Linked DNA regions of Ovis aries. The protein of the gene in region 2 purifies or fractionates together with the protein of the main gene of each other region. This does not show direct contact. Links are inferred from orthologs where the notes say so. Each region holds a gene or a part of one and is shown on either strand. Other genes may lie near its edges.

What was found.
Region 1: the proteins of USP44 (region 2) and EZH2 purify together in Homo sapiens (affinity purification with western blotting; 3 studies listed by BioGRID, with this or other methods). This does not show direct contact. The link is inferred for Ovis aries from reciprocal best matches to the Homo sapiens genes USP44 and EZH2.

The regions. Positions count from the first base shown.
Region 1 is NC_056057.1:113,175,689-113,179,511, reverse strand, and holds part of EZH2 (histone-lysine N-methyltransferase EZH2), read left to right. Parts: intron 1-1,496; coding exon 1,497-1,617; intron 1,618-2,385; coding exon 2,386-2,526; intron 2,527-3,487; coding exon 3,488-3,590; intron 3,591-3,823. UniProt on the Homo sapiens protein: Polycomb group (PcG) protein. Catalytic subunit of the PRC2/EED-EZH2 complex, which methylates 'Lys-9' (H3K9me) and 'Lys-27' (H3K27me) of histone H3, leading to transcriptional repression of the affected target gene.
Region 2 is NC_056056.1:131,659,082-131,662,904, forward strand, and holds part of USP44 (ubiquitin carboxyl-terminal hydrolase 44), read right to left. Parts: intron 953-3,823; 5' UTR 883-952; coding exon 1-882.

The DNA.
Region 1 (3,823 bases), on a different chromosome or scaffold from region 2:
CCTTGGCTTTTGCTAGTGATGAAAGCCAGATTAGGCAGACTCTTCTCTTTTATGGCTAGGGTATGTCCTGCAGTGCAAAGGTTATATGGATATAATTGGGAAGACAAAAAATAGCCAACTGTCATTTACTTTTGGCTTGTGTCCAAAATAATGAACTTTCCCAGTTTTAAATGGGGTTTAGTGCAGGTGAGGTGTGCTGGCAGCAAGGCTCGAGTTGTATATGATGTTGGCTCTGAATAGAACAGTACATCAACACCTACATTTTCATTTTACATGCCATGTGCACTTTTCCTCCCAGTTTGCCTTTTCTTTGTTTGTCTAAGGTACTGTGATCTTTGTGAATTCTGCACCTGTCCTGAATTTGTTATGTAGGAATTATTTGAAAAACTCCCTGTGTTTTCCTGTTTCCTGTCTGCTCCTACCTGACAGCTCCTGTGTGTCCTGGCCTTTTCCCAGCCTTTTCCTCTGTGTCAGTCATGGGCCAGCCTGAGGCACCTCACACTTAAATTGTTGCCATTTCCTCTCTTCAATCTTCACCAGTCTGTTCTGTTATCACAATTTCTTTCTAAAATTCTGTTTTTAATCAATACCTTGTTCAAAGGCCTCTTCATACTGAGACCTATCCTTTTTTTAAATAAGTCTCCGTATTTAGATATGGACTTCAGAAACGTTGTGTCTTTATCTATAATTACTCTTCAACATTTTTTATTGAAAGTTCTCTTCCCCCAAGAACATCAGCTTCCTGTCCCTTGTTTTCTTGAAGTCCTGTGTCCTCTCTGAACTTTCTTTGACTGGCTCTTTCCTGCTCAGCCAGCACCCCCTTTCTTTCCTGGCATCTTCCAAACTGTGATATAAACTCATCTGCCATCTTTATTAGCACTGTCAGGTTTGATAAGTCTTGTTCATAGTATTGAAACATTTTGTTATTGTAGAATGTTCCTATTTTATGAATGAGAGTAAATCCTTTGGCATAACCTGTAATGAACCATCCATATTTTACATGCCTAGAATTTATTACGTTGACTATGATAAATTGATCAAGTGAAGTTTGGAAGTCCTCACTTAGTTTTTTTCCTTTTGAGGCATTGTTATTTATGGTTGGCTTTGCTAAGCTGTATTTTGTCGACCTGAGATGCTTTTAAACGCCTGAAGCAGGAACATGTCTTCAAATGGTTGATGGGCCACACCATAACTTGTGGCGTGTTCCTGTTTTAGAGGGACATGAAGTGATGATAAATTGTAGTGATTGATTCTGTAATAGAGTATTTTTTCTTAAGTTTTTTCCCTATAAACAGTTTTCTCAGATATTGATGAGAAGCATCATTTATTTCTTTGTAGCTTTTAGAGTTTGCTCCCATTTTAGATCTGGAGAACTGGGTATGGACATCTGCTTAGGAAAAAATACTGTATTTCAGTTATATTACATTTCCTTTTTAAAAAATGTTGGTACTTAGGATGTGTCTATTTTTAAATGTATTTATTTATTTCACTTTTAGGTGGAAGATGAAACTGTTTTACATAACATTCCGTACATGGGGGATGAAGTTTTAGACCAGGATGGGACTTTCATTGAAGAACTAATAAAAAATTATGATGGAAAAGTACACGGGGATAGAGGTGAGCCATGTGTTTATTCTCTTGGAAAAAGGGCCAGAGAATTGATATTTTGATTTGTTTTTTCAAATGTCAGTATGAAAAAGATTTTTTAAAAACTATAACTGCTGGATTGGCCTGGGCTAAAATTTTAAGTGTTTTCCCTATCTATTTTTAAATAGAAGGATTGTATATGCCGCTTGGAAATTATTCATAGTTGGTTATCAAAAAACTGTGTCAATCACATGCAAATTTAATAGAATTCTTTGAATGTATATAGATTTTAAGGTTCTTTAGCAATGAAATGGGTTAGAATTAGGGCCCTGCTTATGTAACATGGGCTCCAAAAGGCCTTGTGATCAAAATGACGTTCTCTGCTAGGCCACCACAGGACCTGAAGTCCTGACATTAGAACCACAGCTTCGTGCATTATCAGGAGACCTGTTAAAGGGCCTGGCAGGAGGGTGGCATGTAATAGCCTCTCATCCCCTCACGAGTGGACAGCGCAGTCTGGTGGATATGATGTTCAGAGAGAGGCGAAGGCCGTGTTTAGTTTCTGGAGAATTAGGCCGTGGTCGCTGGCACTGGAAACTTGTGAAAATGACAGGTGTTGAGGGTAAATTCTACTTCCAGCTTTGCCTGAGGCCAGTCCTGGAAATGACCTTTCTCCCCAATTTTATAATAATTATGGTGTTGTAGTGCCGATTGATAGGCTCCAGTTGTTTCTTACAAATTAGAAAAAAGCATGATATACTTCTGTGTATTTCTGATATTTGATTTGATGAATTTCAGAATGTGGGTTTATAAATGATGAAATTTTTGTGGAGCTGGTGAATGCTCTTGGTCAGTACAATGATGATGATGACGATGATGACGGAGATGATCCTGATGAAAGAGAAGAAAAACAGAAAGATCTAGAGGAGAGTCGAGAAGGTACATCTGTCTTGTTAGGTTTGTGTGTAGCCATATCAGCGTTTTTTCAAAAAATAAGAATACAGGTAAACTTTTCTTCTTTTTTCTTCTGTTAAATATCACATCAGGGGTAGTATAATCAAAATTAGAATACTGTTTGTAACATTTCATCCTGCACTTGTGAGTCTTTTATTTCCCTTGACTAGCAAAAGAATGTACAGTTTTTAGGTTTCCCTGGAGAATTATCTTAATTATTGTAATATGTAACATCAGTCTTTGACTATGTGCAGGTTATGTGCTTGTTAATTTATATCACTTTATATGTGTATAGACATTTAATCCTCCTAATATTGCATGTGGATTAAGGTGGATTTTATCCTCAGATCCACTTCATAGTTGACATGGATTCAGTGAGGTGAAGTAACTTAAGATCACAGCATTGGGAAGAAAGAGAACCCAGAAAATTCTGTGTTGGAAACCAGCTCTGATTGACCCCAGGGCACATGCTCTAACTTGTATACTAATTACGGATTACCAGAGAAATTAGAGGGTCCCAACTTAGAGCCGGGGTTGGAAGAGACTTGACATGAAGTCAGCATAGAAGGATTTTGGGAAAAATTGTAGTTTCAAAGAAGCGTACCATTCTCATAATCAGTGCCTTAGCGATCATGTGGGCCCTCGTTTACAGATGACACATGCAGGTGGGTCGGTGACGGGATAAGGTCACAGTACCAGTCAGTGGCTGAGCTGGGATCAGAGCCTGGGTTTTTCTGCCTCCCGGTGCACTTGAAACTTTGCATATTTGATTTTGAGTTTTGTCTGACCCACCAGCATTCCAGATACTTGTAAAATAGGTTAGAAGTGAGAGAGACACAGAGTTGATAATTTCTTGAGAAATCAGCATTGTTAAGTGTAGACAAAATGAAACATTGGTGAGCTCGTTCACTTTCATTCTTTTTTCCTTTCGCATTTCCCTGTTTAGATAAAGAAAGCCGTCCACCTCGGAAATTTCCTTCTGATAAAATTTTTGAAGCTATTTCCTCAATGTTTCCAGATAAGGGCACAGCAGAAGAGCTAAAGGAAAAGTAAGATTTGATCTTTTGAGATGGTCTTGCTGTGTGTGGTATGTCACTCACCATTCTGGTTTATTAGAAACGGAGCTAATATAGCTGATGAACCTGCTGCTTTGTGTCTGCAGGATACTTGAACTAATACATGCGTGTATCTGTGGTACCCTGGGCTGCATTTATCATAGATGGAAGAAGTGTGCGCACACACACAATCTATAGGAGTGTGCGCAAGAGGAAATTTCTCTGGA
Region 2 (3,823 bases):
AAAAATAAGCAAATGACTCAATACTTGGAGAACAGAATTCATATAGCAAGTATTTCCCAAATTTCTCAATCCTGTTACACCAGGAGTTACTGTTGGCCTTCGTTTAACAGAGGAGTCACTAGCTTTTTTCAGTCTTACATCTTCTGAGGTAGATACTACTTTATCTTTTGCTGGCAATGCTGAGGTTTGCAGCGGTACAGGAACTATTTCTACTGTGGTGGACTGAGCTAGACCTTGTAAACGTAAACTCTTTCTGGGAGGCATACTTTCTAATTCTGCATTAGCCTGATGCTCTAATAGTTCTTGTCGTCTTTTCTTCACCTCTCTTTTTGCTAATTTCTCCTGAAATTGTTCTTGCCTTTTTCTTCCAATGGGTGACTGCTCAAACCAAGTTCGAAAGATTTTACCCATGAGTATCCTTCTCCTGTGCCAAAGAGCAGTATACATTTGATCTTCATTTTGAAGCAGAGATTGGGTGCCATCATGTAAGAAATAGGAATCATCACTTGTAGCCATAGACCGTAAAACCTTTCCACTACGAGTGGTACAGTGATAATTTTGATTTTTGATTGCACTTAATGTACTTCGTAGTAACTTTAGGTCTCCAGTTGCATTATCATTAAGAACATAATCATCACAAAGGTAACAAAAAACATACATCTCATTCACCTCCAATGCAACAGGATGACTACTTTCTTGAAAGTGCCCGAGTGCGTGTTCTTCAATAGATCTTCCACAGGCAACATGAGAACAGCTAAGGCAAGCCCAAATCGACTCAGTCGTATTGCAGTCCACACAACGCCACTTCTGCGGGTTGAGGATGGAATGGTCTTGAGCAAGCCGCAACTGCCCAATGTGTTGGCACTTATCCATTGTTAGCATTTATTGAGTCTAGCTGAGGAACACATAATCCAAACAACTCTCTGTGGGCAACACTTGAAGCATCTGAAAACTAAGAACAATGTCAATTTTTAATAAAAGAAAAACAAAAAGCCAACATTTTTTCTTTTTACAAGGTATTTTTCCAGGAATTATTTTCTTTTTCCAGGAATAATTTTGTTAATTTGCTCTCACTGGTCCTAATATCTGGGCTGCCTGTCATAATACCAAAGGCAATTCTCACTTTTAATTTACACTAGACTTCACTAATCTCTCATCCGTCTTGCTCTGAAAGAACACACACATTACTTGCTCTGACGGTTCCCTTTCAAACACATTGTTTTCAATTTGATGCTACCATCTACTGGTAAAGAATGGGTAGTGACCACTTTTCACATTCCATTTACCAATTGCCATTCCTTTTTCTTAAAAATTGGGACTGGCAAGACCTAAATACATCTTACTAATATCTCCATTTCAAGAGCCCTAAGTGGAGTTACTAAAATATAATCATAGTTGTAAGCATGGGGTCTGAAGTAGAAAAACTTACGTTTGAATGTTACCTCTGCCACATACTGCTTTATATCTGACTTGAGCAAACATTTTAACTTCTCTAAACTTCATCTGTGAAACAGGGAAAATCATACCACCTTCACTGAATTGTTAAAGGCCTGAGATAACCAAATATCTGGCACAGAGCAAATGTTCAGTAAACAATAAATATTTGACACACATCTATAGTGAATAAATCAATATTACACTCTATTTATTTAAATAATATTAAATATTCTAATTTTAAGTACTATTTAAAATTCGGCTTTCCAGTAGTATACCCATAATGACCTTTATTTAATTCATGGCTCTGCAACATACTCTGATTTGATAGACTTGACTTAAGTAAAGAGAAAAAAGACTTAAGAAAAGAGAAAGTATTCTCCCCTTCTGTCTTTTGTGTTTGACTACACTCTGAGGAATGTGCAAGGATGTATAAGCAAATAGCAGGAAAAAAAGGAAAAATAAGAAATCAGTGGCAATATAATGATTTTACATTCTTGCATGCCTAAACATTACATGAAATTAGAGGCTTACTCCAAAAAACAAACCCATAATCCCAAAACCCCAATATAATAAAATAAATCTGATCTTGATCAAACTTTTCCTTTATCAATTAAAGGAACACATCTGCTACCTGTACCTAAAAACAATAAAACAAAATCTAGTTAAAAAGTAGGACATCATGAAATGTTTTCTTCACTGATTTAAACATACATTGAACACAAACTTTGGGCTGAAGTTGGGGATCTAGATGGACTGGTTGGATCTCCTTGCAGTCCAAGGGACTCTCAAGAGTCTTCTCCAACACCACAGTTCAAAAGCATCCATTCTTCGGCACTCAGCCTTATTCACAGTCCAACTCTCACATCCATACATGACCACAGGAAAAACCATAGCCTTGACTAGATGGACCTTTGTTGGCAAAGTAATGTCTCTGCTTTTGAATATGCTATCTAGGTTGGTCATAACTTTTCTTCCAAAGAGTAAGCGTCTTTTAATTTCATGGCTGCAGTCACCATCTGCAGTGATTTTGGAGCCCCCAAAAATAAAGTCTGACACTGTGTCTACTGTTTCCCCATCTATTTCCCATGAAGTGACGCGACCAGATGCCATGATCTTCGTTTTCTGAATGTCGAGCTTTAAGCCAACTTTTTCGCTCTCCTCTTTCACTTCCAAGAGTCCCTTGGACTGCAAGGACATCCAACCAGTCCATTCTGAAGGAGATCAACCCTGGGATTTCTTTGGAAGGAATGATGCTAAAGCTCCAGTACTTTGGCCACCTCATGTGAAGAGTTGACTCATTGGAAAAGACTCTGATGCTGGGAGGGATTGAGGGGGCAGGAGGAGAAGGGGACGACCGAGGATGAGATGGCTGGATGGCATCACGGACTCAATGGACATGAGTCTGAGTGAACTCTGGGAGATGGTGAGGCCTGCTGTGTTGGAATTCATGGGGTCACAAAGAGTCGGACATGACTGAGCGACTGAACTGAACTGAACTGGGGATCTAGATATAGAAGACTCAGAACATTATGTGCAGCATGATCAATGCTTTGAATTTTTTAGGACAGCAACATGAATTTCAACAGTACTTGCAGATGCCACCTCCAGGTCCTAAGAAAACTGCAAAGGTAAAGCTGACTTTTGGTTTCTTTCTACCTCTTTGCTTGTAAAATGTCTTAGCAATCAGATATTCCTGCCTACCACAATTTCTTCACTTTTAGATACAGGGTATGTCAAGTATAGATTTAAAATTACCAACCCCAGACCTCACATGTACACTCCTCTTCCCTCAAGATTTCCTGAGGTCCAAAATCTGTTCAAATATAGTATTTTATTTGAGTAAGCAAACAACAATAGTTGCTAATGGCAAAAGTAAGACATCAGTGATTAATATGCTCCATCATCCTAAATCCTTCTAGGTCCTGAGGTTAATAATCCTGAGATCATACTTGTCTCCAATCTCTCTCTCTCCCCACACAGCAATCCTTGAATAAAAATCTTTGGTTCTACTGTCAAAATATATCTAGAATCTGAGTACTTATTATCTCTACTGTTTCACCCTGAATCCTTATACAGTCGGCACAGCTTAGATCATCAGCTCCTTACTGCAAAATCCAGGCTTAAATTGAAGAAAGGGAAAACCACTAGGCCATTCAGGTATGACCTAAATCAAACCACTTACGATTATACAGTGGAGGTGACAAATAGATTCAAGGGATTAGATCTGGTAGAGAGATCTGAAGAATTATGGATGGAGGTTTATAACATTGTACAGGAGGTGGTGATCAAAACCATCCCCAAGAAAAATATGCAAGAAGGCAAAGTAGTTGCTTGAGGAGGCTATACAAATGGCTGAGGAAGGAAGAAAAGTGAAAGGCAAGGGATA